Linked DNA regions of Rhinolophus ferrumequinum. The protein of the gene in region 2 purifies or fractionates together with the protein of the main gene of each other region. This does not show direct contact. Links are inferred from orthologs where the notes say so. Each region holds a gene or a part of one and is shown on either strand. Other genes may lie near its edges.

Region 1 (15,211 bases), on a different chromosome or scaffold from region 2:
CAGTCTTCTCTGAGGGCATGAGTGTCAGCTGGAGAGCAGACTCGAGGTACCAATGTCCTCAACAGACATGGAAACAGCGGAGCGTGCCTCTCAGACCTGCCTCGTGGCACCCACCGGGAGGGGGTGCTGGTGGACGACCCTCCTGGCAGTCTGGAGGCAAGGCCTCATGACCACAGTGGTGGACCGAGGGTCCCCAGGAGCAACATGGATGTCCTCAGGGAGAAGGTGACATCTCGTCACAGCGGCAGACGAGGCCAATGCCTCCTTCGGTCCTATGATCCGTGTTCAGGTGCCGCTGTGGCCTGGGCACAGAAGAGGGGTCTGAGAGGCCCCTGTGGTGGCAGGTTTCAACTTTAGTTGCTGATCATGGAGAAGGGATCCCAAGGGAAGCTGGGGGTGGGGGGGGCTCTCAGGGTCTCAAGAGAATGGCAATTACTTAACAAGCGTCACAGCAGGGCTTCACTGTTTCCGTCTGTACGGCTGCACAGGTGTATCTCCATCTGGGCATCTGCCGGCTTTATGTCAGCGTCATCCATGCAAACACACATCCCAGAACAGGGTTCACAAGACAGGGGGTGCGGGGCAGGCTCAGCCGGGTAGGGCTGCTTTCCCATCCCATGAATTCTGCTGGGCCGGCTAGGAGGCTTCATTCTCGGGTTTTCCCAGGAATACCTTCCCCTTCCCGGGATCCTGGCCAGAAGCTCCATCAGCTCTCGCATGTGCCTATGCCTGGGTCTATGCTCCAGCAGTCCCGCCACCTGCTTCCACAAAGCCAACTGCCTCTGGCTCTGTGTGAACTTAGACCACACAGCACCGCCTGCTCTGAAAGCAGCCCTATCAGGCCGCCATCCTTCTCCCCAAATGTCTGAGAAACGCAAATGGCAGCGATAGGAAATTATGTGCACACCTAAGTCACCCCCAGCTGCAGCCATTTCCCTGACCACCTTCCAAACACCTGTGCGCCGATCCACAGGACCCAGCCCCCTCCAGGAGTGCTTCCTGGGCCGCCCCACCCCACCCCGAGGTCTGCTGGGGCAGCTGCCCCGGGCTGCCCCCAGTCCCCGCTGGGAACAGCCGCTTCCTTCTCATTTCGCTAGAGGGTTAAGGGAAGAGCTCATTATTTCGCACTGTTTATCAGTCACAATCTGTTTCCATTACGTCTGAGAACCGGGGGGGGGGGGGGGGGGGGGGGGGTCAGCCACAACATAACTCCAGAATAGGAAACTTTGTTTTCTTTAGAGAAAAGTTTATGTTACAGCGCCTGTTTGTCTTCCCCCCCCCACCCCAACCTCAAAGTCTCACTTCCAATGGAAATTCTTTAAACTCCAAACTGATTACAGGTGGCGGGGTGTGCTGTGCGTCCCCCCTCGCATCCCCACAGGCACGCTCACAGATCTGCTGACGCCCAGCGAAGCGCGTGGCAGCCGCGTGTCCAACCTCAAACCAAGCACACTGGAGCGATGACAGCCGTCCCCCTCAGGCCAGGAGAAGCCAGGCTGCAGGGGTGAGGGGAGCCCAGCACCCCGCTGGGGAGCAGAGCAGCCTCCTCACCACAGGAAAGCTCCATAGGGACGCGTCCACAGTGACACTCAGGCTGTTTACACACCAAAGGAAGGTGTGTCCTCAGCACACTTTCCTGCTGGCTGCCCACTGACCCTACAGCTGGGAACAAGAGAACTGGCATGGGGTCTGGACCACTTCCCAAAAAAGGCAGTCCTTTGCGTCATCCCAGGTTCCCAGTACAAGCCCAAATGAACCAACCAAATCCTGGAGGAATGGAGCGGGGGTTAAAGAAGAGAAATGCATCAACAATTTTCCAGAAGACACACAAGATTCCTGGTTCACTGGATTTTCAAATGTATATTCAGGCTTTTCTTTTTCTGTCTCCCTCCCCATACCATTTATTCAGCACCAACTATTTGCCAGAACCTGCTAATGGCATTTAGTGCTCGGCCACACGGTAAAAATGATTATCCCCACTGTAAAGATGAGGCAAGTGAGAGTCAGAGAGGTTCCGTAAATCAGCAAAAGTCACTAAGCACAAAGGAGAAAATCACTCACTCGGTGCCCATAAATGGATCTGTGCCATTCCCATTCATTTGAATGTCCACTACCCAGTTCAGAGAACATTACTGGTTCTCTATGATCAACCAAATTAAGGACCAAGAAGTTGGTTTGGCATTTGAAGCCGTCTACAACTTAGTCCCAAACTCCTCCTCTAATTTTACACCCTAATGTACCATGCTCCAGCCAGTTAGGCCCCGACCATTCTAAGAGGAATCCCTCCACATACCCGCAATGTCTACTACAAGGTCACGCCCAGAGTCCTCCCACCCTGGGACATTCCCCTCCCACACCCCCAGGAAGGCTGCTGGAAAGTGAACAGGCTGCCTCGGCCCTGGGTCATGTCCTCTAGCTAATGCTTCCTCTGACCTCCTAAGGACGCAGGGAACACAGACAGGGGCTTAGGCCAGACACACTTTCAGTAGAGATCATTTTTCACATGCTGGAAAACCCTTCTGTTTCCATCCTTAAACAGCCCACTTCACCCAGAGGCAGGTACATTTTCAACAGAAATCCCTTCCTCCCTTCTGGGGCTCCAGCCACTGCCAACATACCAAGGCCCAGGGGAGCCGTACCATAATTAAATTCTAAAGCATTTAAGATGCTCAAAGGAAAGGCATCCTTGAAGTGCAAATCATCAATTTACTGGAGAAAGAGCAAAATGTGGGGAGTGAAGGGCTCTATACAAACGTAAATGAAATAGAACTGTAAACAACTTGATGCATAATTGATTGACCACACCCCCTGAACCTGGCATTGAGTCCAGTTCTGCAGCAAAGCCCGGGCTGGTCTTCAGCACCCACTTCTGTTTACTTTATTAAATCTGCAGTCTGGGTTTTGCCAAATGGAGAATAACAGTTCTGAGATGAGTTATTTAACAGGCAGAGCACACAGCAACAAACGGGGCTGGGGTGCTGAAGCAGCAGAAATATTAGACAGATAATCCCCCAAAGCCTAATACTGAAGGCTGGTGCCTGTGAAAAATGTCAGGGTGCAGAGAAATCAACTAAATATGGGCTTAGAGCCTTGACTTGACTAGTAGGAAACACGAGAAGAAATGGAAGTCCACTTACATCTGAAACACTTGAGCGAGTATTTAAATTCGGCCCGAACCTGCACCCCATTATCTGTTTATGTCCCTACTTTACAAGCTAAGAATAACTACATATTTCCTTTTATCATGAGGACAAAGTAAATTCGAAAAGACTTTCTAGTCTCTAAATCCATGGAAACAACTCAGGAGGAAGAAAGACTACCCGGGTTCACAACCTTGATCAGAAAACTCAGGACAGCACAGTTCTATTTGCCGTCCAGAAAGTCTTAGCACTTTCCCTTTGCAGCAGGGTCCACTGCAGGAAGTTAATGAGTCTTCTTACTGCAATTTCAAAAGTGACTGCATTACACACCTCTTCCTCAACCCACAAATCACTAAACCATTCTAAGGGCCAGGATTAAATGTTATGGTTCGTTGACAGAAAGAATAGAATCCCAAATCACCAATCATTGTATAACCATTCCTTTCCCACACTTTTTTTTTCAACATGGTCTCTGTCCCTTCTATGGCCACCAGGCCACAAGGAGTTCTTGGACTTTTTTTTTTTTTTTTACCTAAGGGTCACACATCGAAGACCCCTCAAACACCGTCCACCAGCTGAAGCCCACCCACCAGAGGGAGTCCAGCTTCTGCAGATGCTAAGGCTACACTGTGGCTGTTTCTAATCACATGTGAAAGTGGCAAGCCAAGGAAAGACATACCAAGCACGGCTTACCCATTTGGTTTTCTTTTGCATGAAAGGCAGAAAGCTTTGCCAGGTCTCACCAGCACACCAGGCTATGCAGACCCACCTTACCGGGAAGCAGTTTTAAAATAATTCCAGTTTAACATGCCCCCAGTTTTCACTATGGCAGCAGCTGCTCTGCTTCCCCTGGGTATACTGGCTCTTTATCAGTCAAGAATAAACGGAGACTTCGTGTACACATACAACAGTTCCTTGCATTAAAAAAAGAAGAAACAGGGCTAAGAGTACACTGTCAGCTCCGACCCAAGCCAGGCCAATTCAGCACAGGGAAAAACTATTTTCATTTCTGCCCCCCCCCCCATAAAGTAAACCTGTGAAGCTTACCAAGAACCAAATAAGGCACCTACCTCTCTACCTAATACCTTCATCTGAGAATGAAGAATGAAGGAAGCAAGGAAGGAAATCTCTAAAGCAGCCGAACTCCACGCTGACATTCACAGGTCTTGAGGCTAGAGTCTGATCATGCCCAGTCCCACCCGTTTGTCTTGTTCCAGGATACCGTTGCCTGGTTCTAGCCCAACCCGTGGTCCACCTCCATTAACTCAGAATTTCCTGGGTTTGCGGTGACAGTAAACGTCAGAGGAATTGGGTTACAGGATTTTGGAAAAGATAACGTTGCTTTGTCAGCCTATGAACCACCAAACACCACAAACAGCGCGAGGCGACATGTGCACAGCCCAGAGTCCTCCCGACCCAGCAGGCGCACGGCCCAGGACTGGGCTGCCTGGCTTCCCTCCGTTTCCTGCCGAAGCGCCGGGTAGTCCAGGGCGCCGTACATGGTCCCCACGGCCTAATCACTCGGCCCTTGGGGCCTGTCGAAAACACAGTCGTAGTAGAGGGGCTGTGCCCGCGTAACGGGGGAGTGGGGCCGGTGAATGCCAGCGCAGGAGGCCGCGTCCGGCGTGCGCGGGAGAGCCGGGGCCGAGTCCGGCAGAGTGTAAGCGGGGGCCGGGAGGGGAAGGTCGGGGACGTGGCCGGCCTCCCTCCGGGCGCAGAGGCGCGCTGGCCTCCGCTTACTCCGGCCCAGGGGAGCCCGTTTCGTTAGGCACGGAACTGGCTGCGCCTCTTCCCCACGCGGGGTGACACGGGGGAAAGAGGGTAGGACCTGCAACGGCTTGTATCAAAGAGCTAAAAAGAAACTTGGACGCCTCTCTCCTACTGTACATGACACGCTGGAAAGGCGGCTGCCTCTCTCCCCTTCCTCCCCACCCCCTTTTGTGTTTCCCAACATGCGCACCCCTAAACTTCCCACCGTAGGGGATGGGGCTCCGGCGGCCGGACAAGACTCAAATTATGTGGAGCAGAGAGGGGATGTCTACGGAGGAGAACGGAGGCGACAAGAAAGGCGTCCGCGGTCCCCAGCCCTGCGGGGTTGCGCCGGCGGGCCCTCTCCCGAGCCCGGCGAGCGCGGAGGGGCCGGTGCGCCCGCTGCCCCGGGGACTCGGCGGGAGGCTCGGGCGGGGAGCTCTTCGGGGCCCCGCGGCCACGTCCGACTGAGGAGCCGGGGTGCGTCGGCGCCGGGAGGGCCAGGCGCGGGGGCGGCGGGAGCGGGGTTCGGGGGGCCGGGCCGCGGGCGGGCGCCCACTCACCTTCCTGCCGGCGCCGCCGCCCGCGCCGGCGGCCAGCGCGGAGCCGCCGCCGGAATACATGTAGTAGGCGATGCCCAGCACCCACAGGAAGGCGAAACACAGCAGCATCCGCGAGCGCCGCCGCATCCTCCCCACTCGGCCGCCGGCCGCGGCGCCGCTGCTCGCGAGTGCTGCCTGGGCCGGCGCGGGGCGGAGGAAGGGGAAGGGCGGGCGCGGCTCCGGCTCCTCCTCCCGCGCGGGCTCCCGCTCGCCCGGCGGGGGCGGCGCGCACTCGGCGCCGAGCTCCGCCCCAGGCCGGGAGCGCCGCGCGGCGCCCGAGCAGGAAGCGGCGGCCAGGGGGTCAGGGAGCAAAGGGCGACCAATCGGCGGGCGGCGGGGCGCGGGCGCGGGCGGAGGAGGGGAATCACCGCGTCTCCAGGGCGGCAGCAGCCGGCCGCCCCGCCCCCTCGCGTCCTCGCGCCGCGCCCCGCCGCCCCAGTGAGTGACAGGTGGCTGCCGGGACCCGAGAGGAGCGCGCACGCACGTGCACACGCAGGAGGGACACTTGGTCCCTGCTGCCTCGCGCTGCCCTGCGGACACGATCTCGTCAATCCCCGGTCTTCGTGACCACCTCAGACCCTTAGCAGGCTCCATCTTACGGACCCACTGACCCTCCTGGATCTGACTCAGCTGCTGCTCGCTGCAGCTTTCTTTCTAATTTTGCAGCAAAACATCCTGATCCCAGGTGTCAATTTCTTCAGTTAGGCAGAGGTGGGGGCCTAGAGCTAGAAACGGAGAGGTCGTCTTCAAGGGAACATTTTTCTGGGGATGAACACAGCGCTTAACAGCAGGGTTTTTTTGTTTTGTTTTAAGTAAATTTGAAATGAGGAAGAAGGAAAACAATATACATTTTTAAATCTTTTAAATTGGTTGCTTTCTTAAAAGAAGAAAGTTAGCACACTCAACATCTTCAAAGATGCAAGAAGACAGATCTGTCTTGGAACAGAATACATAACCTTGATGGTGCCCTTCTAACCGCAGTTTCCAGTGTTCCTAGAAAAGAAAGAAATGTTACTTGCACTTGATATTTTAAAAGTGATTTCAGGAGCTTCCCAGTCTAGAGGTTAATGACAGCTGCCTGAATCTGAACCTCTACTCATATCCGCAACAAAACACAAACACAAGCTAACAAGCCTTCAGCGTCACTAGCAGAGGGAATTGACATGAACTGAACTTGAAATTACTTAAGTAGAAGAAAGAAAAGACATCAAATTCCAACAGAGCTCTCTCCACTGTTGCCAAGGACGTAAGTGAAGCCCAGGCTTAAATCCCTCCATGCAGAGAAAGTCCAACAACAAGAACTAAAAACTGAACACCAGTCTGGTACTTGATTGACAAAGGGAAGAGGTTTCAAAGAAAATGGGACAGGAGGTGGCAGCCTTGAAGAAGCCTTGCTTCTGGGAAAAGTCAGCGACACAGAGAAAAGGTAATGCCCTTTGGAGGCCTGGCGGTGAAGGGAATGAAGGAAGTAAGAGGGAAAATTAAAGATCCTGCAGAAATAAAAGACGGTGGATCCTTCCCCCAGCCACTGTTATCTATTAAAAACTGCACTTCTGCATACAGATAGAACGTTTTTGAACCAGGAACCCTGTGCCAAAATTCCTGGTAACAGAAAAGCAAATTCAACAGCACTGCAAAAAGAAAACAGAAAATCACATTTCTTATGATGAGAAACTGAATCATAACATTTCAGCTGATGAAATCCCCCCCGTAAAACTGTGAAGCAGAAGAAAAGCAGTTTGACACCACATATCAGAATGAACAAAGTATCATGTATTTGGATACACATCCATAGATACACATCTATGCAACTAGAATCTGAAATTCAAAAACCAAGAACAGACTGGACAAACATTAGGAAGAAATGCAACAAAAGTTGGTCAAATTCAGGAAAGAAATTAAAAATAAAGACAAAACTATCCCAGAAATACAGAATGATTACAAGGTGCCCAAAGGAGAATATATTCAAATATAAATATGTAAAAGGGTCCTGAAGAATGGCAATAAGTTAATCTAGAAATTGAAAATAAGATAATGAAGTAAAAAGGTTCAAAATAAGTGATTTAAATGAAAGTCAAAAAAGAAGAACCAAAATACCTATAACTGGAGTTCCTAACGTTAAACACCAAAGAGTGAGACAGAATTATAATCCAGATGTAATGTATAACATGATGACTATCGTTAACACTGCTGTGTGGTATGTTTGAAAGTTAAGAGCGTAGATTCTAAGAGTTCTCGTCACAAAGAAAAAAATATTTTTTTAAAACTACACATTGATATGAGATAACTAAATCTACTGTGGTGATCATTTCACAATATGTTAGTCAGGTCACTATGCTGTGCACCTTTAATTTAGACAGTGCTGTATGTCAATTACATCTCAATAAAATTGAAATAGCTATAATCCCATAAAATAATCCAAAAATAAGAGAAAATTCAAATTACTTATCGAAAATAACTTCCACATAGCTTGGGAAACTGGTCTGGGAGAATCAACTTCAAAATATATATGTTAGCAAAACTACTAGGTTTTTAAAGACAAAAAGATCAAATTACTTACTGAGATGAAATGTTAGGTTGACATCAGACTTCTTAACAGGATACAAAGCAAGGCAGCAGTGGGGAAGCATTTACAAGAAACTCAGAGAAAGTACCAGCCAAGGGCTTTTTTGTCCACACTTCAAGGATCAAAGTTATAGACAAACAGATGTGAACTGAGAGCAAAAATTCAGAGAACGTCACATTCCTTTCCTGGAGAATGAGCTTCCCCAACCAAGAGATAACTGAGGAAACCAGCAAAGTGACTGAGCGAGAGTACTCATACATTTAATTGGTGGAAGAACAGTATACACATACTTTCTGGGAAGGTGGAACAAGTGTGACTACAGACAATTGAGGGAGAGAGAGAGAGAAAAGGGAAAACAGAATTGTTAAATACAGCGTTTCCCCGAAAATAAGTCCTAGCTGGACCATCGGCTCTAATGCGTCTTTTGGAGCAAAAATTAAGACCTGGTATATATTATATTATATTATATTATATTATATTATATTATATTATATTATATTATATTATGTATAACATATATATATTATATTATATTATACTATATTATATTATACCCGGTCTTATATAAGACCAGGTATTATATCATATCATATCATATAAGATCCGGTCTTATATTATAGTAAAATAAGACCAGGTCTTATATTAATTTTTGCTCCAAAAGACGCATCAGAGCTGATGGTCCAGCTAGGTCTTATTTTGGGGGAAACATGATAGATAATATGTGGGAGTCAGAGGAGATCATAGAAAAGGGAGAGACCAGAAATTTAAAGGTTAAAAATTAAAGGGATTAAGGATAATATAAAAATATAAAAAAATGACACTAAAGCAAAGTATAAATGTTCCAAAATATTGGAAACCCTATTTCAAAACCCAAAAAGAAAAATGTTACAAATTGCAAAGAATAAACATCAAATAGTGTAAGGAACACAGTAAGTAGAGCATAATACGTGCAGTGATTGTAACAGAAAATAATATGACAGAGGTGAGACCAAACCATGTCAGTATATCAACTTATAAATGTCTCTATTTGCCTATTAAGAGATTTTCAAATTTGGCAGAAAAGGAAACCCAACTCTAAAAAAGCAGGAGCTGTGATCCTGATATCAAACAAAGTAGAACGGGCCAAAGAGCATTAAATGAGACGAAGAAGGACAATTTATAGCCAAAACTTCAACTCCCAGTGAGGGTACATCAATTGTACCCCAGGATGTGCTCAGAGGAGTAAAACCATATTAATGATCTGGAATAAGGACTGTATGATAGAGTTTAAACTTTGTACGATGTTGGAGGTAGAAAAAAAATTCAATGGGAGTCTATTTCCATTGTGCATAACAGCAGGTCTGAAGTCAGTATACTTTGCAGACCTGGAAAAAGGATGTGATGTGGGGAAGTGCAAAAACAAAAAACAGGCCTCATGACAACTGAAGTCCATGAGGGAAAACTGGAATCTACCCCAACATTGATTATGGGGGGGAAAAAACAACAAAAAAACACAATCAGATGTCACTTGACACCCATTTGTGCGGCTGTTATTAAATATATATAACAAATGTTGAAGAGGACGTGGAGAAATTAGAACCCTTGTGTGTTGCTGGTGGGAATGTAAATGGTACAGCCACTGTAGAAAACAGTATGGCTGTTCCTCAAAAAGTTAGACATAGATTTACTGTATGACCCATCAACTCCCCTCTGAGTGTACCCCCAGAGCTGAAAGCGAGGACTCGGATGATGTGTGTACTCCTATGTTCATAATACCATTATTCACAGTAGCCAAAGGTGGAAGTAACACCGTGTCCATCAGTGGATGGATGGATGAACTAAATTATGTTCCATCCAAACAGTGGAACATTACTCAGCTTTAAAAAGGAAGCATATTCTGGCACAGGCTACAACATGGGTGAGACCTGAGCACGTGATGCTGCATGAAATAAGCCAGTCACAGCAGGACAAACACTGTATGACACCACTGATGGGAGGCATCTGGAGTCGTCACATTCACAGAGACAGAGGCGAAGGCTGGGTGCCAGGGGAGGAGAAATGGGGGCTGTTTCACTGGTACAGAGCTGCAGTTTGGGAAGATGCAAAGTTCTGGAGACGATGGTGGGATGGCTGCAGAACAACATGAATGCTCTTACTGCCACTGAACTGTCCACTCAAAAATGGCTCAAATGGCAAATTGTATGTTTATGTATATTTTACCACAATAGAAAAGGCATAGCAAATAGGAAGAAATTATTTCCACACATGTCATACATAAAGGGGGTAATATCTCTAATATGTAAAGAACTTAAACATTGAGATGGGCAAAACACAAACAGACAATTCATAGTAAAGAGTTTAGGAGTACATAAACATGAAAAGCCGTTCAACTTCACTCATAATAGAGTTGCAAATTAAAACTAGAGAGATACTATGTATTCCCCCTCCCCCACCCCAACAAATTGGCAAAAATGCAAAAGTTTGACAAAGCGCTCTGTTGGTAGGACTATGCAAAATAATAAAGAAGACTTTTGTGAATAGATATGGAGTGGTTTCCAGGATATGTTATTAAATGAAAAAAGCACAGTGCAATAGAGTACTGTTGTGTAAGAAAGAAGGGAAAAGAAGAAAACATACAGCTATCTGTTTATTTTGTCAACACACATACTAACATGGACACATCCACAATAAAGATAAACCAGAAAACAATGAAATTGGCTACGTGTAAGGGCAGGAGGAAAAGTCGAAGGGAAAGAAGGAGCCCCCCTTCTCTGAGAATACCCTTTTCCCAGGTTTGACTTTTAGAAACATGCTGATGTTCTACATATTCAAAAAGTAAAACAGAAATGGTGAGGGGGTGGGGAATAAAAATGAAACCTGAGCAGAAATGAATCTGACTATATTGCAAATGAATGACATAACCACACTAGAAGGGGGGAAAGAATGAAGTCATAACTTAAACAAAGTGCTTGACTTTATACCATCAGCCTCGAGAATAAAAGGAGCTGCACACAATGTTTGAACTCTTTATGGTTTTTTTCATAGTGTTACGAGTGTAGTAGTTAAACATTTTCTGCATATTGTGTGATAGAGCAAATCAGAAAATGTATTGTTTGGGGGTCTAGGGTTTTCACTGTGGAAGAAGGGAAGTACAGTGTGGAATGAGGGAAGGCAGGACACTTCCTCTGGAGTAGATCTGGACCTAGAGATCAGAGTACAGACTCGTTATTTCCATGTGCATACATATGAAATACCTATGCTCACCTTGTGTGCACATGGAAACCCATCCTCACACATGTTCCATATACGTGTCTGTACACATTTCCCAGGTCTGTCCACTGAATGACACCCTCGTATCGTGAGCACAGCTTACAACCAGGTCTCGGATTCTAAGTACCATTTTGCACTATAAGAAGTTTCCTTGGAGAAATGATTGATTCTTAGAATCAATGACAACATCTTGTTGTAATAGAAAGTAAGGAAGGGCAAAAAAACTGGAGGGGGATGTTAAAAGGTCACAGGAGCCAGCTTGAAGGGCCCTCACTGGTGAAATCTAGGACATGTGTACATCAAAATGAATTTTGAATACAGTAGGAATCTGTGAGCACATGCTGGTAATAAATAAATAAATGGCAGACATGGGCTCTGTCTTTCAGCTGAATGCCAACTGACAAACGTGAAGAGCAGGGTGAAGTTGAAAATCAGCATTTGGTAACCGTGTCACAGTAAAGATTGATGGAGAAGACTCACCAGGAGATACTACTGTGTGGGGGTGGAAATGGGGGTGGGGACAGGGGAGTTTGAGGACAAGAGGATATGTACAAGGTCTTCAAATATCTTTCAGCAGAATACCTATGAGTTGCAGAGGGAACTTGGTAACTGTGTAGTGGGGAAACTAGACACGACCTTGGCCAGGTAACCAAAATTGATGTCCCTCAAGAAGATTGGAAGGATGCCCTCTCTGCAGACATGCCTGGGAATGCCGCAGCATCAGTGCCTCAGTACCCAGCCAAGGAAACGTAACCTGCATCTAATCATAGATAAATATTGGGAAACAAAATGAGGAACATTCGGTATAGTAGCTGGTTTGTATTCTTCAGAAATGTCACAATTATGACAGACAGGAGAAGTTGAGGAACGGTTCCAGATGGGTGGACTAAATTCAGTGCATGATTCTAAAAATGCTGCGGAGGACACGAGTGTGACAATTAACACAGCTGACTACGGCTACAGATTGGTAATGGTGTAGTGTGCTTGCTGTTGTGACTGCAGCATACAGCGTAGTGTGACATGGTCTCATTTTGGTTATTGGGTTATGAATACACAGCAGATTCTTGTTCATAGGGAACATGAACTGAAATTCAAAGGTTAAAGGGGCACAAGTCACGCGAACTACTCAAAAGTTGAGAAAAAATATATAGGCAGAAGATAATAAAACAAATGTAATAGAAGATTTAAAAATGGTGAGGTTGGATAAAAAGCGTATTATTTTTTCAACCTTCCTGAAGTTTGATATTATTTTCTTTAAGACGTGATTTAACTTCCAGTGTGGTAGACCCTGATTACTAATTTCACTTTGCAGGTTAGGAAAGAAGCAAAAACCTGAGCTCACTCAGCTAAGGCTGCTCGTCCCGACCTCTGAGCTCCCCCGTACCCGGTTCCCTGGGCAGCGGCTTGCACAGAAGGCCCCCTTCCCATTTCCTTTCCCAGCTCCGCACACTTGGAGCAGATGGGCACGGCTCCGTATTTTTACCAGCTGAGTGGCGTGCTCTGCACCGCGTTGACGTGCCCTTGCCTCAGCCCCAGTTCTGCCATTTATCTAGGTGATGTGTCCATGCTGGAGCCCTGAGGGCTGTTCCCTTAGCTGTTAGGCATGATGGACCGCTGCTATGTGCCGCAGCAAACACATCCGTGTGCTCAGGAGTTTCTGCTGCCAGGTGACTGGGCCAGTTACTGCTGTCAGAGACATCACTTTGACGATACTTTGTGTCTCTATACGAAAGAACCTTTTTTATTATCTGATGGTATAATATCCCTTTTTCTAAAATATTTCAATGGCGGTAAAATCCCAATTAGGAGAGAAAAGAAAAACAAAATTATAACTGCTTAAATGGGACCAAAATATTAAACACTGAAATTGGATCATCAGAACTCCTTTTTCCCCAAAAAATACAGAGGCTATGGTAAAAAGAAGACATTGAGGGACGCTGCCCAGGGCCTCCTGCGGGCTGGTTTCCATGGGGTCACACGACACTGAAGCAGAACCGTTCTGTCCGCTGTGAGTCCCCGTACCTTGCCTCAGAAGTGCCCTTCTTAGTGACATAGGCTCAAAACTGCCACAGCCAGTGGATACATGTGTTGACCACCTGCGACAATCTTCCTGGAAATCTCCTGACTTGAATTGTGACTGAGAAATAATTCATCAATGTGATTGAGGTTAAAGAACTCAATCGCCCTGAAAATGTAAGATTAATGATGTGTTTACTATATGCCGGCCGCTGCCCGAGTGCTGTTCGTGTTTTTTCTACACGATTATTATTAATCCTCACAACAGCCTGATGAGGTAAGTGCCACTAACACTCCAGTTTTACAGCGAGGCACAGCAGCTTACATTACTCGCCCAAGGCAGCTCCGAGCAGCAGAGCCTGGGAAGGTGAGTGGCCAGGAAACACTGGGTCGGCCACATGGCGGGCTCAGCAGTGGTCCCTTGGAGGGAGAGGACTGGGGCCTGACCAAACAGCCCGACGGAGACCTCAGGGTGCTGGGGACCTTCTGGCTCGTGATCCGGGTGCTGGTTACATGACACGTTGAGTATAAAAAAGTTCAATGGGTTGTATGTACACATTTGACATATGCACTTTATATGTACAAGTTATATACTTCAATAAAGCAAATCGGGAGGGGTGAAGAGCTGCTGACTCCCTGGCAGTCTCTGTAAAGGTTCGGGGAGACTCGCCCCCACCCATCAGCCTCTGTCTGAAGCCCATCCTGCCAGAAATTGATGGTCCAGGAAGATCCACACAGTTTCGGGTTTGTGAACACGGACCTAATCACCCCATATCAGGCGAGAGTCGAGCCATTAAGGACTGTGAGCAGGTCTCAGGGGCTGCTCCCACTCCTGACCCCTGCTTTTCATCCTCTTGGATCATTCTGCCCGGGGCTTCACCCCAGCCTCTCTTGGTCCAGCGCAACAGTCTCTGTCATTCTGTGTGGCTCTTTCCCACCAAAATGCCTGGGTCACAAGCCCCACAGGCCTGGGGTGACAATAACTTCACCACAACAGCCCTAAAAAGGAATTCTCCTTGTTGATGGCTTTGAGGTAACTGCCAGCCCTGCAAGCGAGCCGCAGTAATTCCTGCCCTCTCCGGGGAACGTCCTGCTGTCAGCTGAGAGATGCTCTTCTTGCCCCCACGTCCCCCCGTGTAAATCCTCTCACGCAAGGCTCCCTGCCGTAACGCTGTGCCACCAGGGCTCCCTACTGTAACGCCTTGTTGGTGCCAACGCAGGGCAGGCTGCCGGTGGCCGGAGCGAGCCTGAGAGCTGACCGAGGGAGGAGGCGCCAGTGTCAGGTTCCTCGGCACCTTGCCTGTCGGTATTCCCCAGGGGTGAGAAAGAACTAGTTCATTTTATTTTGTTTCATTCTTTTTATTTTATTTTTTATTTTTCAATTACAGTTGACATTCAATATTATATTAGTTCCAGGTGTACACCATAGTGATAAGATGTTTTTATAACTAATGAAGAGATCCCCCTGATAAGTCTAGTGTCCATCTGAAACCATACACAGTTATTACAGTGTCACTAATTCTATTCCCTATGCTGTATTTTACATCGCCAGGACTACTTTGTAACCACCAATTTGTATTTCCTAATCCCTTTCACCTTTTCACCCAGCCCCCAACCCCCCTCCATCTGGGTACCATCAGTTTGTCTCTATATCTATGAGTCTGTTTCTGTTTTGTTTGTTTGTTTATTTCGTTTTTAGATTCCACATGTAAGTGAAATCGTATAGTATTTGTCTTTCTCAGTGTGACTTATTTCACTTAGCATGATACCTTCTCGTTCCATCCATGTTGTTGCAAATGGCAAGATTTCATTCTTTTTCTATGGCTGAGTGATATTCCATTGCATTATATATATGTACTGCATCTTCTTTATCCATTCATCCATCGATG
Region 2 (15,260 bases):
TGAAACAAATTCTGTATCCCTTCAGTATAAGAAACGATACTTCTCAAAGGCTCAAATGTGGAGCTATGTGGATTTCACAATACTTATGTGTTCACTTGATGCCAACCCTCTTGGTTCCCAAAACCAACCTTTCTTTCCGCTCTCCTCTCTATGAGCAAAATCCATCAATAATGGACAGCAACCAGTAGCCAGAAAGAGCTATGTGAGACCTCAGTTAAGTCACATCCAGATGTCCTGAACAAAGAAAATGTCTCCTTTGCAAGAAGAAATTGAACTGAAGTACCTAAGGAGTGTCACTAGGCAGACAGTACCAACGGCATCCCACAAGTAGCCTGGGTTTCTCGGGAAGACCAGAGACATCAGATACTGACTGCACTGTTTTGCTCAGGTTCCAAAATTCATGACTGGCATTGTTAAGAGCTATTAAAGTAGAATGGAAAGAGCCAATCACAGTGGGGGAGTTAGGAAGGTACATTGGGAAAACTTGAGCTGGGCTGTGAAGAAACAGATTTGGGGAAGTAAGGGAAAGAGAAGAGAGAAGCCATCTAACCCAAGAACAACCGTGGGAAGCCAGGGAATGGAGGACACAGCAAGCACAAAAACCCCCAGAGGCCTAGACGGGCACCCAACAAGAGGGGCCTCTGGTCTGGCGAGGACGCAGAGAAAGGCAGCAGGTGGCCGTCTGCAGTCCCAAATACTAAAGAGTCTATACACTTGATTCTCCACGCCATGCGAGATACACACAGAAGCTTCACATCAGGGTGAGCAGTTTAAAAAGACCAATCTATCTCTTTATGCCACAAGAAAAGATGGACAGGAGAAGAACCAATTAAGGTGGCTCCTGAAAAAAGAAAATAAAATCCAGGAGAGGTGAAATGGGTGGGTGTGGGACAAGGGAGAAGGGAAATGGAAAGAATGATTGTGGCTGGAGATATTTTAAAAAATGGATAGGACTTCTGTGACAGGTAAAAATGGTAAAATTTGGTAGTTTGGAGAGGATTAAAAAAATTAGGCAGTTGAAAGGGGCAGCTTAATTGGTACAAGAGAGAAATTCAGTTTTTATGGCAATAGGACAACCAAGCCAAAATATTCAGCATGCAGCAGGATGGGTCTCTTTGGGAACCAGGCCAAGAATTAAGAGCCGGGAGTCACTAACTCAGAGGATGAAGGAAGGATGGATGCACTTCTGAGGAGACAAAGGAACAGGGAGACCTGTGTTTGAGGGCCCTCAACCTCACCAGCACAGGATAAGGCAAAGGAGTTCTTAGATGCCTGGACGGCCTTCAGGGAAACCAAAAGGGGAATTTCTATTTGAATGGTCAATAGTGTCCAATTCTATCAAGGTCAAGATTCCGTTTTGAGAACAAGTCATTGGATTTGGTGATCTGAACCTTTGGATAAACATTTAGTAGAGACACAAAAACCAATGTGAGTTTGTAAGGGTTACGAAGAGAAAGAGTGCTAAGGTAATGGAAACAATACTTACTGGAGAAGTGGAACAGTAGAATGAATAACAAATAGGATGAATGGGTGTGGGGTAAATCTGGGCAAGTGTAAAGTTGGAGGAAAGGTGCTACGTAATAGGCAGAAATGGAAAGCATTAGAGGAGGAAAGGTAGGGAAAGGGAAGACAGAAGGGGAATAAAATAACCATGGTCATAGGGAATGCTAGAAGAGCCTGATAAAAGATTCCTCAGATTGGAGGACAGTATTATAAGACTGGTGCACAAGTAGAGAAAATGATGCCAACAAGAGCATTCATTCGTTCTTTATCTCCACAAATAGCTACCTGCAAAAATGAAAATCTCCAAGCCATGAGCTGTTTTAAGCAAGGTGGAAGATAATATGACAAACAGGACGGCCCCTTCTTTAGACTTACTTCTCTTACAGCACAGAATCCATCACATGCTCCTCACTTCCCACACCCTTTGTATTTCCCTGAGATCAGTTATTCTATTTGTTTTTTCTTTGCAGAAACAACTCTGTTTAGGCTCTCTCTAATAGAATAGCATGACCAGAACAGATTTCAATAAAACTTCAAACAGCGTGATTCAAAACATTACCCTCAGTTACCGTTCGAAAAAAATGCAGACCAATAGCAAAACCTTCCCAGATGTTTTCTTGCATAAAGCCATGAACTTACCCAGTTATGACAGTGAGTGTGGAGAACAGTGTTTCAATCATCATAACTGTATTTTTAATAATCTGTGATGGGAATAGTAGCTTTACTCCCAAAATCCCCACATTCAGTTTTATACTCAGTACAACCAAATGGAAGTTGATTCACTTTGTCTTAAGTAATAGGAAAATATCAGAAAAACGTAAAGAACTTCTACTAGACAGGTTGGACTTGTAGGCAGTAAAGCACTTTTTTTAAAGCTGCTGTTTTGGTTTGCTGCTGAAGCCTTTAAAGAAAATTGTGTCCTAAGTAGCCCTTTGCCCATCAGCATTCACCTTCTACATCTTTTGTAGGGTACATCCCCCCAAAGTAAGATGCCTTGGAAGAAAAGCACCTCAACCTGCAGTTTTCTCCTCGGTTTGCAAAAATAAATAGTGGCGAGTGCAATGCTATTTTCAAGGGGTGACTTTACTACAGAGCCAAGGTCCAAGGGAGGGTGGTCAGCAGCTTGCCTAGGACTGGGGTCTCCGTTTGGTCAAAGCTGGGTTCCCACATGCTGGGTTCTACTCACACTTAGAGCGGGAAAGGATGAGACACCAGCGTAAACACCAGGAACACAGGAGTACAAGGTCACCAAAGTGCAGGTGCAAAAACCAAAGCAACACCCCCGCCTCTGGCAGCCCGGACTTGTCATAAACCCGAGAGGGTGTCTCTTAGGTCACAGTACTTTTCTCTTCATTTCTCTTGATTTAGAAACAAATCAGCAGGGAGGACAAGGTTCTCAAAAACAGAAAAATCAAATCTGAAAAGAGAGGAACACAATCCAATGGTAATGTTCATCTTTTTGGAGAGGAATATACCTCACTGCTATGATTACAAAGGGAAAAAAAGGCCTTATGGGAGTTGCAGCTCAGAATTAAGACAAATTGACCCTCCACCATACAAACAGCAATTGATACAATAAAAGCACGTAAAATTTTAAAAGTTAGGTAGAAAGATACACACTTCCTGGAGGGACCCAGAACCCTGGCTTCTGCTTCGTGCCATGATTTGTTGTTTTGAATTGTTTACATGAGTATTTTTTTTAACCAGAAAAATATTATAATGAAGGGGAACGGAAATCCTTGAAGTCAATTACCTGGGACGGCACTAGGCCAGGGCTATAATGGGAAGGTGACGTACAAGTGGGCTAGTTAGCAAAGAGGTTCTGAGCTAAGTGGCTTATTCTGTAACTGGTCTGAGCTGTACATGTGAACTCTGCTCCCTGTAGAAAGTCTGGGAACAACTCAGTTGGGCCACCAGCAACTCTTTACCAACGCCCTCGCTGTTGCTACATGAAGGGAAAGAAAGGGTGTGAGCTGGCAGCAAAGCAGTGGGAGTGCCTCCGGGGAGCGCGTGCCTCAGCTCCTGCTGCTGTGGGCTGGGAGGGCTTTGCTTCCACGCAAAGGCTGCACTCAGGAAATCTAGTCCGCAGTGCTTAGCAGGGCTGACCTGGGAAGTTGGAGGCCTGTATATTTCTGGATTTGTTTATAGGGAGTGTCGTCTAGTGCTTTGCTCCCTGAAGTGTGGTTCCAGCAGCAACTGGCATCACCTGGGAACTTCCTAGAAATGTAGAAGCATAGGTTCCACTCCATACCCAGTGAATCAGATTTTGCTTTCTGTCACAATGCCTATGAAAATTTGTGACGTGCTGGTATAGTACAAAAAGCACAAGACAGGAGCCTAGGGAGTTGCCATTAGGCCTTGATTTTGCCACCAATTTGAGGTGGGAACTTAGGGGGAAGAAGAATCATGATGTTTCCGGGCCAGAGTTTGCTCATCTGTCAAGGGAGGGAGCTGTTGTCGAGCAGCTGAAGGTCTGTTCAGTTCTAACACTGCAGACATGGATACGTGGGTGTCTCTACTTTGGGGTCTGAAAAGGCCAGGGTGCTGGTAGTAGTACCCCCAGAACCAGCTGCTGCTGCCACGCCAATGCAAGCCACTGCTGGGCCCATCTAAAACTGTACATCCCTCCCCTGAGCCTGGATCTTCCTCCCTTACCTTCTGGTCCAAACGCTGGTAGTCACTGGCCTTTGGCCGCCGAGGGAGTTTGGATTTTTTTCCTTCCAGGACAAAAGCAATAATCTGGGGAACGGCAAAAGAAAATGATTAACAAGTGATTCTATACTGACATACTTCAGTCTCGGAAATCAGAGATAATCACCTGATAGTACGTTTGTTAATAACCCTAACAGTACAAAGAGCAGTACACTCTGAAGAGGCCTATTTAAATTAGAACGATTTTAAGGAGGACAGGGCCTAGTTGCATTAGAATCCCTTATACTGCTAAACAGAAAATGAGAGATGGAGGAAGGCTGTTCTGGGCTCTAGTTTGTGGGAGTCTCTGGATTTGCTCAAGAGTACTCAGCCAAAGATGGGCCGACTCCTCCCTAGAGAGTTCCTTAAATCATAAGCAATTATTATTTCTTTTCTGCAAATGTACTCTTTCACCCCACACTTTGCTTCACCTTAACCACACCACTCTCATTTCATGCCTAAGGTTACTCTCCATGTTGGATGTAGAATAAGGAACACACCGTTTTAACTTAACGTCTTTTGTGTTTCCTAACAGCCACAGGCTTTATGACCATCATGAATTGAACTCTCCAATTCGAATCAGGCTACAAAAACTGCTAAATTCTTAGAGCTCAACAAGAACTGCAGTCCCTTTATCATTGGAATGATTGCTAAGCGACACAGATGTTACTTCACACCAAACCCTGCTAAGAAGTGAAAGATGAATGTATCCATGCAATTTCTGATCTTTCTTCTAATCAGAAGTTCAACTGACTGCAGAAGATAGTCCCTGGGCTCTCTGCTACGCATGTCGAAGATTATGTAACGATTCTTTCTGCTACTGCAGATAGAAGATAAAAGCTTAGCAAAGAAGCAAGAAATGATTCACTCTTGAGAGTGGAAACAGGAAGATAAATGCTCTAACTACTTCTTCTGAGGCTGTGAAGGATCTAAGTTCAAGATTATGGGAGAATATCCCAATTCAGGTCAGACTGTAATAATGTCCTAATTGGCACTTAATGCAGCAGCAGAGGGCACTCAGAGGAAACAGACATGAAAACAAATGACTTAGAAAACAGGAGTAGAGCCCTAGCAGGGTCTGGAAAAAAATTTGTCTTAAAATCCCGTGTTCACAGGCAGATCAGTGATGGATACTGGCCCATATACCAAGCTTTCAGGCTAACCCATTTCTCTGAAGGCATTTCTTGACTTACCTTCCGCTTGTTGTGATAGGCAATATAGAGGACAGCAACGAGAATGGCAGCAGTCACCAGGTATGCAAAGAAGTGGCTGCTTTCTGCACTCGCACTTCCAAGGCTGTCCTTATAAAGGTCAGCCTTCTTCCCGCTCATGGAATCCAAAAGTGTCCCTTCTTTCTCTTCTTTGGGTGGAGAACCTTCTGTATCACCTTTCTCAGCCTCCTTTGGCTCCACATCTTTAGCAGGTTTTGAAGACTTATCTTCTCCCTCCTGCGGGGGAGAAGTGGAGTCAGAGTCCAGTAATACTCTTTCCCCAGATTCAGATTTGGAAGCATGCAGAGAGGTCTCTCCTTTGTCAGCTAGTATGCTTAAGTCAGGGTTGGTAAGCTTGTTATTAGAGGATGGGTTGGACACAGGATTGTTGGAGTTGTCTTTCGTGGACTGGGTGTCCTGTTCCGACTTGCCAGAATTATCTTTCGTGGACTGGGATTCCTGATCCGACTTGCCAGAATTATCTTTCGTGGACTGGGATTCCTGATCCGACTTGCCAGAATTATCTTTCGTGGACTGGGATTCCTGATCCGACTTGCCAGAATTATCTTTCGTGGACTTAGGGTCATGACTGGACTGGGGGTGCTGATCTGATTTGCCAGAATTATCTTTTGTGGACTGGGGGTCCTGATTCGACTTGCCAGAATCGTCCTTCGAGGACTGGGGGTCCTGATTCGACTTGCCAGAATCGTCTTTCTTGGACAGGGGGTCCTGAGTTGACTTGCCAGAATCGTCTTTCGTGGACAGGGGGTCCTGAGTCGACTTGCCAGAATCGTCTTTCTTGGACAGGGGGTCCTGAGTCGACTTGCCAGAATCGTCTTTCGTGGACAGGGGGTCCTGAGTCGACTTGCCAGAATCGTCTTTCGTGGACAGGGGGTCCTGAGTCGACTTGCCAGAATCGTCTTTCGTGGACTGGGGGTCCTGATTCGACTTGCCAGAATCGTCTTTCGTGGAATGGGGGTCTTGATTTGACTTGCCAGAATCGTCTTTTGGGGAATGGGGGTCTTGATTTGACTTGCTTGAACTGTCTCCTGTGACCTGGCGATTCAAACTCAACGAGGCAAATTCCTCTTTGATGGATTGGGTTTCCAGAGCAGATGTGTGGACATCCTTTTCAGACAGGTGGCTCGAGGGGGGCTGATTGGAATCTTTTTCTGGAATCTCTCCTTTCTCCCGACTGAGCAGTTTTTCGGTGGCTGACAGGGCAGAAACGGGCAGCGCGGCGCCTGAAAGAGAGAAACCAATTGGCTCTGAAGAGAGGCAGGTCGGGGAAAAAGGAACCCTCAGAGCTATAAGAGACCCGGGCAACAGGCAAACGGTGGGGCTGGGAGGGGGGGGTGATGCCGACTGGAGGGGTGAGTCGGGCAGGGAAGCAAGCTCAGATGGCGACCGGCCACGGTGAGGATCGTGGACCTGCCTGTGGGGCTAGTGTCAGATTTTTGGGGGTCGGTGGGGGGGGGGGGTCTTACCCGCCGCTACGACGCTCAGCAGGACCAACGCAACCAGGAACCGCATCCTGAACAAACTGTACTTCCGCTACCGCTCTCGCGAGATCTGCGCACGGACTCAGTATTCATAGCCCCGCCCTTTCCTGTGCGCGTCCCCTCAGCTCCGCCAGGACGAGGGGAGCCGCCTGCGGAAGGGTCGGGGAGGTTCGTAGTTCCACTATTTTCCCTTTGGGTGTATCCACCTTTTTTCTTTGCTCCATAGCATCCTTAGCAGACCGTCACTCCCCGTTTCCTTCTTCCCCCTGGTACGTCCGAGACAATACAGCTGAGCAGGTGCTCCTCCCTGGCAGTGGACGGTCCCACGGGAGTGACGTCCCTGGGGCCCGGCGCCTCTGCGCCCCATGCTCTGCTCGCATTTTTGAATCTCCCCTTTTCGTGGTTATTTCACCGCAGCATACAGACGGGCTGTGCTTAGGTCTCCCATCGAAACAGAACCCATTCTGTCACCTTTGTAGCGGGAGCCTTCGAATCACCGCTCCACTCTCCCAACACCACGGAAACTGTACTCTCGAAGTTGCCAAAGAGTTTTCCTAAAGAATACATCCTTTTTCTGATCATGAAAGCTATTCATATCCACAGTAGAAAATTTGGTGAATGTATGGAGGTAGAAAACAAAATCTTTGTCCCACTCTTCCGGGATAATCACTATTAATGTTAGTGTTTTCTGTCTTGCAAACATTTAACATTTTTGGTTAGGTAATACGTTCTAATGGTTCAAAAATCCCAATGGGTTTTTTTAAAAAGTACACATTGCAAAGTTCTTGTCCCCTACCCCCCACAGGTTATCACTTGCATTATTGTTTCCATCTAGTGTTTTTCTTTTTTAAAAAACAGATACATACGTACTTATTTTTCCCTTAATATATATATTATTGGTCTTTTTTCAATGCATTTTCATTTTCTCCCAAATTGGAATCATTGGGTAAATAGTTTTGTATCCCACTGTTTAAAATTACTGTTGGGTTTATACATTAATTGTTGCTTGAAGTTGTTTTATGAACATTGGCCAGGCTAAGTGCTTTGTAGACTGATTTAAAAAATGATAGGCCCTAACTTAATGGAACATGTAGTCTAGTGGGACACAAAAATATTAATCAAATATTTACACAACTGTGTATGTGTTCCAAGAACTGCCAAGAAACAAAAGTATAGAAACTCTGCACTCTGTTGAGAAAGGACCTTTGAGCTGAGGACCAAAGAATGTAGGTGTTTTCCAGGTGAAGTTGAAGGGAGGAGGAGGAGGAGTTTTCCTGGCTGAGTGTACAGGCTGTGCAAAGACCGGGAGGCAGGTGGGAACCTGGTATTTTGTGTAAGTCTAAAGATGACGATAAGAATGTCAGATAACAGAACAAGAAAACTGGCAGGGGATGCGGAGGGGCAGAGCCAGATTAAAAAGAAATGATCTAGGAGTTGTTAAGAACATAAATCTTTGTGGGACACAAAAGTACATCAGAAAATATGCCAGTTACCTCAGGCTGAAATGTAATCCAACCCAAAAGGACTACAGCCGCCAGGAGCAATCACACTTCTCTGTAGTCGGTTAAGTACAGTATTTGGGTTACATTGCATCCAGATTTACTAGTAGGTTGAAATCCTGAAGACCGTTCATGGCATAAATATAGTTTTCAGGAACAAGAACTTTTGTTATTTAAAAACCTTTAATATGCTTGTCAGTGTTTCTCTGTTGTAAGAAAATCTCTCTCACACATACGCTCATTACTGAGGAGAGAACAAGGATCAGAAAGAAGTGAGAAATCTTTTACCAAATTATTTCAGATGCTTTTACTAAAGAAAGTGAACCATGACTCTGCTTTTACTAAAGAAAGTGAATTGGTAAATGAATCTGTATTTAAAAGAAAAGTCTCTCCAAGTTCCATAAATAAATATTTGACTAACATTAAAGAATAGTGGTTCAGTGGAGATATGTATAGGGAGAGGAATGGCAAATTATTAAGCCTGATCTTGTTTCCACAATACTAGACAGAGGAGAGGAAAGAAGGGTCCAAATCTTGCAGTTTGTGGGCCATGTCCAGGGTTTTATATTTTATCTTAATAGTAATGAGAAGCCTTCAAGGAGGTTTAAGTAGGGAAAGATATAATCAGAGTTGGAAAATTTTGAAGATTAATCTGGTTGCAGGGTAAAGAATCTCTAGGGATGGGGAGAGAAGAGTGGATTTAGGAGTTTCTCGGCAGACTTGTAGTAGTCCAAGTAGTCCAATAGGGACAGTGAGACTGGAGGGAAGTGGTAGGACTCAATAAATTTGGGAGGTAATACCAACAGGCCTTGGAGATGGATTGGATATGGGAGGGAGGGGTGATGGAGAGGAAGGTGTGGAGAACCAGATTTGATGGGGGCAGTCCATAGAAAATGGATTTGCTTCTGGTTGTGTGTTTAAGATGCCTGTGAGACAGTCAAGTAGAGATGTCAGGGAGGTAGCTGGAAATGTGAGCATGGAGTCCAAAGGCAAAATATGGGAACTTTTTTCCTAACTAATTTAAATATTGTTCAAAAAATACAATTGTTAATGGTTTCATAAAAAGTAGTTTATGAGTTTATTATAATTTTTGTGACAGTTCCCTTATTATTGGAAATCTGGATTATTTTCCATTTCCTACTGTTAGTAACAATTATTTTGGTACATTTTAAGATGAGACAGATCCTCAGAAAGATTCAGCAACTTGCTTAAGGTTGTGCTATTATTTTACTCAACCTTTGATAGCAGTGTGTATTCTTAATCTGCCAGTTTGATAGGAGAAAAATAATCCCTGTTTTCCTTGAATATTTATTGCACAAGTAATTTACATGAATTTGGGCAATATACTTAATTGATTTAAGTACCAATTTCTTCACTATGAAATGGGAATAAGTATTGAGAATTAGATAATTCATAGAGTATTTAACACAGTAGCATATAATTAAAGCTCCCAAAAGTTATTGTAATTTTATGTTCATAATACAAAAATTAAAAACAAGGATAAGCCAAAGTAAGAAAATGAAAATATCCTGTAATCCACAGCTATTATCATGAATATTTTGTTAGTTCTCCCTTTTATATAGGCGTCTATGTGCATATGATAGCTTACTAACTGAAACTAAAGCAAGTTATAAAACCATACATACAATTCTTATCTTGCAGACCTTTTTTGTAGCTTTACTGCTAAAACTAGTCATGTCACTTGTCTTCTGGTACACTATCGTCTCCTTGTCTCCTTATTGAACCTACTTTGAGGAATCCCAGTTGTCTTAGAACTGAGTGTTTGTAGAAGGAAAGTGAAATCAACACTATCAAATACAGCACGGAGTTGAAGTAAGATAAGGACTTAGAATTACAATTTCAGTAGAATGGTGAGAGCAAAACCTGGTTGCTGTTGGGTAAGTAGTGAGTGGGAGGTAAGTAGAAACTACCTTTTCTGGAAGTATGGATGTAAAACAGAGGGTTTCTAATATGGGAGAGGATTGAACGTTTTTATTGACTGAGGGAAAGAACTCATTAGACAGAGTGACCAAGATTACAAGACAGTAGTGGTGGAACAAGATACCAAGAGATGAAGGGCTGGGGTCCAGGAGCAGTAGAGCAGTTGACCTTGGGTTGAACCAGGGATTGACTTTGAGATCTGTGGAAAGGCAGTTAGAATGGTCAGAGGGTGGGTGGGTATTTAGGTAGGGGTGTGGGAGAGCAACATAGAGCATTTCAGCTGGCCTCAGTTTTCTTGATATTCTAAGAGGCAAGGCAGTCTTTGAGAGTGAGAAGGTGGGGATTAAATTGGGGTGTTGAGAATGGTGAAGACAAGAGTTGAGGGCACTAGAAGAGGGAGCTGATAAAGGACAAGTGCAGTAACTGAGTGGTATTGAAGGCCTCTCTGATCTTAGGCACCACAGATCTGGAACGGCACTATTTCAGTCGTGTGGTTTTTCTCCAGGCAGTGCTTCTACCAGGGTGGGAGAGGAGTAGAGAAGGCAAATTTTAGCACTAACTCCTGACTCACACCAATTTTGGTTTAAGGGAGTGGCAGCAGGTAACTTTAATAAATCTTAAAATTTCCTTGCACCCCTTCATGATAAAAACACTCAACAAACTAGGAAAAGAAAGGAACGTCCTCAACCTGAAAGACGGCATGTCCAAAAACCTTACAACTAATGTTATACTTAATGACAAGGCTGTATGCTTTCCCTATAAGATAAGGAATAATGATGTCTGCTCTCACCACTTGTATTCAACTTTGTACTGGAAGTCATCAGGACACTTAAAAGCAAGAAAATGAAATAAAGACATCAAATTAGAAAGGAAGAAGTAAAACTATATTTGCAGATGACATGGTCTCGTATATAGAAAATCCTGAACATTTTCTAAAAATTTATCAGAACAAGTTCAGCAAGGTTGTAAGATGTGAGGTCAATATACAAAAATCAATTGTATTTCTATGCATTTGCAGTGGACAGTCTAAAAAGGAAGTAATTCCATTTACAATAGTATCAAAAGAATAAGATCCTTAGGAATAAATTTTACAAAAGAAGTACAAAACTGATACTCTGAAAGCAAAACATTATTGAAAGAAAATAAAGAAGTCCTAAATAAATGAAAAAGACATCCCATGTTCATGAATTGGTAGGCAATTTTGATAAATGGCTATGCTCCCCAAATTGATCTACGAACACCATCCCTATTAAATTCCCAACTGGTTTCTTTGCAAAAATTGACAAACTGATCTTAAAATTCATATAGAAATGCAAAAGAGTCAGAATAGCCAAAACAGTTTTGAAAAAGAACAGTTGGAGGACTCACACTTCCCAATTAAAAACTTGCTACAAAAAGCTACAGTAATTAGGACAGTGTGGTACTGGCGTAAAGGTACATAGAGGAATGGAATAGAATTGATAGTCCAGAAATAAGCCTCTACATTTGTGGTCAGTTAATTTTCCACAAGGGTTCCAAGCTAGTTCAATGGGGGAAAGAATAGTGTTTTCAACAAATGGTGCTGGGACAACTGGCTAATAAGCATATGAGAAGATGCTCGACATCATGAGTTAGGTAAGTGTAAATCAAAATCACAGTGAGATACCACTTCACACCTACTATGATGGCTATAATAATGAAAAAAAAACGAGAAAATAACGTGTTGGTGAGGATGTCGAGAAATTGGCACCCCCACACATTGCTGGCTGGAATACACATGTTGTAGCTGCTATGGAAATGTTTGGCAATTCCTCAAAATATTAAACAGTTACTGTATGACCCAGCAATTCCACTCCTAGGTGTTTATACCTCAAAGAACTGAAGACAGGGACTCAAACATTATACTTTTATGTGAATCTTCATAGCAGCATTATTCACCACAGCCACAATGTGGAAAACAACCAATGCATCCATCAATAGATGAATGGATAAACAAAATGTGGTACATACGTACAACGGCTATAAAAAGGAATGACATTCTGATACACACTACAACCTTATACTAAGTGAAATAAGTATAATATTGTATGATTCTATTTATATGTGGTACCTAGAAAAAACTCATAACGATACAAAGTGGATTAAAAGTCCCTACGGTCTGGGGGGAGGAAGGAATGAGGGGGTTACCGCTTAGTGGGCAGTTTGTTTGGGATGGGATGAAATAATCCAGTGGTTACGGTTGCGTGATGTTGTAAATGTACTTAGTACCACTCAATTGTCCACTTAAAATGGTGAATTTTATATGTATTTACCACGATTTAAAAAAAGCTGTATATCTGAGTAAAAAAACCTAGCAAATACTGATAAAAAGGAAGTCTAAATTATTTTATCAAAACTTAAAAAATCTGATACATGCTACAACATGGATGAACCTTGAAAACATTGTTATGTTAAATAAGCCAGGCACAAAAGGACAAATATTTTATGATTCCAGTTACATGAAATATTTAGAGTAGGCAGATTCATCGAAACAGAAAGTAGATTAGAGGTCCCGGGCTGGGGGCAGGGAGAATGAGGGTTATTGCTTAATAGTTATAGAGATTCTATTTGGGGTGATGAAAAGTTTTGGAAATCATTCGTGGTGATGGTTGCACAACACTGTGACTGTAATTCATGCCACTGAGTTGTACACTTTAAAATGGCAAATTTAATGTCATGTATATTAACCATAATTAAAAAAGAATGAAGTACTGATACATGCTACAACATGGATGAATCTTGAAAATATGCTGGAAGAAGTCAGTAAGAAAGGACCAAATATTGTATTATCCCATTAAAATGAAATATCCAGAATACACAAATCCAAAGACACAAAGTAGACTAGTGATTGGTTGCCTAGGGTTGGAGGAAATGCAGGGTGACCTCTAAAGGGTATGTATGGGATTTCTTTTTGAGGTGATGAAAATGTAAAATTGACTGTGATGATGGATACACAATTCTGAACACATTAAAAACCATTGAATTATACACTTTAAATGAGTGAATTGTATGAATTATATCTCAATAAAGCTGCTACAAAAATTACTGGATACCATGCAAAGCAGACAAAGGATGCCCGTCACATCTTGGCCATTCTAATAAGACAAATGGAAACAAAAGGCTTCCTCCATTTGGATCTCAGTTATCGATATGGACTGGTCGATGCACATTTGAGGCTGGAAGCTGGGTTGGATTCGTCTAATTGTGTCAGGCACGTTTTATATCCCCCTCCGGTAAGTGCTAATGCTCTTTGCATGTATGCAAAAATCTCTCTAGCACAGGGCTTGGTATGAAGAAGGGGGCTTGATTCAACAAAAGGATTAAAACACTCAGAAAAGGTCTTGCAACTGCAATTTTATTTTCTTTTGTGAAAATAAAGAGCTTATTGGGAGTTTAAATTGCTTCAAAAAACCCATAAAAACAAAAAGAAGTACACACAGAAGCATGTGAGGTGATGGGGGAGGGAGGAGGGTCTTTAGAACTTTGGCAGACTGTGCTGGCACTGACCCAGCTGGCAGGAGCCTTGGAGCAGGTCCTGTCTGCCCCTCTGGGACTGTGAAGGGGAGGTCTTGACTGGTAAGAGGGTGGAACACAGACTTCGTCTCTAAGGAAGTGGCAGGCACCTTGAGTCCTTTTAGATGTGGGGAAGAGCCATTTCAGAGGACCTTTTTCCCCACCAAAAGCTGGAGGCTGGCAGGTTAGGGCCCACTGTGGGAAAGGGGATGCTGGTGGAGATAAACCAGGCAAAGGTGTCTTCTCACATGGCGACAGCCTTACACTGGGCAGAGGACGGAGGAGATGAAGGCAGGAACCCATGAGTTGAGCAAAGGAGAAAAACTTGGGCGAGATAAAAGGAAATGTCCAGGCACAGGATCTAGATGAAGAAGCAACAGGCTAGAAGTTGCAGCAATGGCCATCATGCAGACTGAGTGGGGGAGATGAGACGAGGGAGGGGGGCAGAAAGTAACAGAGGTAGAAAGAAGGGTGTCTTCTGCCCAGGTTCATCCCGCACTGCACAGACAGGAAAAATGACACACTACTTTTCAGTTCTCTTTCTTTTAAGGATTTTTTTTTTGTTGGTTTTGTTTTGTTTTTTTAAAAAAGCCTTAAGATCAGCTACTGGTTACATCTACAACACGTAAAGTGCTGTTGTTACCAGCCACTTTACAGAACAGTCCAGAGTGGTCAAATATTGACCAATAAAGTTCCTTTTTTTTTTTCTTCTGAATCATTACTACTCGATGGGTCACGTGACAGCCTGCATAGGTCACAGGGCAGCTTAGTGGGCAGGCTTGGTGACCAAGGACAAAGGCTGGGCCTGGAGTACTGGGAGGGCCTGGTGGGCATGGAGCGTGGCTGGGAAGGAAGGGGGAGAAGTCAGCAGAGCTGTGGGCATGGACCCGAGCGGGAGGGGCCGGGAGAGGAGCGGGGGCTGGCTGCCCATCTGGCCAGAGGACGTGGCTGCAGCCTTCGCTGACAGGAAGGCAGCCGAGTGGAGAGCCAGCTGGGCCCGGCTCTCAGGCTTGGTGGTGAGGGAGAGGGGCTGGGCTTGCTCGGAGTGGGTCGCAGCAGGGGCAGCCGGTGAGGCCAAGGCTGCCGAGGGGGTCGCCGGGGAGTCCAGCATGCTGCCGTGGGAAGAGGCAGGGCTGTCGCAGGGCTTCTCAGGGGGCAGGTACTGAACACATGGCTTCTTGCTTTTGGAGACCAGAGCACCTAGGGGAAAGACACAAGCAAGAGTGAGCAGCTAGTAGCTCTGGTGAGGCTGCAGGAGAGCGCTGGCTGTACATCCCTACTCTGGAAACATAAGAATCCTTCCAAGGAGGAAGTGAGGACCTGCAATTATGTCTAAGGCTTTCGAGACTAGCAGCTGCATTCCAGGATGCCTAGAGCATAGA

What was found.
Region 1: the proteins of TGOLN2 (region 2) and GALNT2 purify together in Homo sapiens (affinity purification with mass spectrometry; 3 studies listed by BioGRID and IntAct, counting the BioPlex papers as one, with this or other methods). This does not show direct contact. The link is inferred for Rhinolophus ferrumequinum from reciprocal best matches to the Homo sapiens genes TGOLN2 and GALNT2.

Annotation. Positions count from the first base shown.
Region 1 is NC_046310.1:26,497,825-26,513,035, forward strand, and holds the start of GALNT2 (polypeptide N-acetylgalactosaminyltransferase 2), read right to left. Parts: upstream 5,668-15,211; 5' UTR 5,579-5,667; coding exon 5,453-5,578; intron 1-5,452. UniProt on the Homo sapiens protein: Catalyzes the initial reaction in O-linked oligosaccharide biosynthesis, the transfer of an N-acetyl-D-galactosamine residue to a serine or threonine residue on the protein receptor.
Region 2 is NC_046296.1:8,932,018-8,947,277, forward strand, and holds the start of TGOLN2 (trans-Golgi network integral membrane protein 2), read right to left. Parts: upstream 7,039-15,260; 5' UTR 6,939-7,038; coding exon 6,893-6,938; intron 6,650-6,892; coding exon 5,388-6,649; intron 4,243-5,387; coding exon 4,159-4,242; intron 2,921-4,158; coding exon 2,915-2,920; 3' UTR 1-2,914. Other genes in the region: TCF7L1 (transcription factor 7-like 1), read right to left, coding at 14,645-15,078. UniProt on the Homo sapiens protein: May be involved in regulating membrane traffic to and from trans-Golgi network.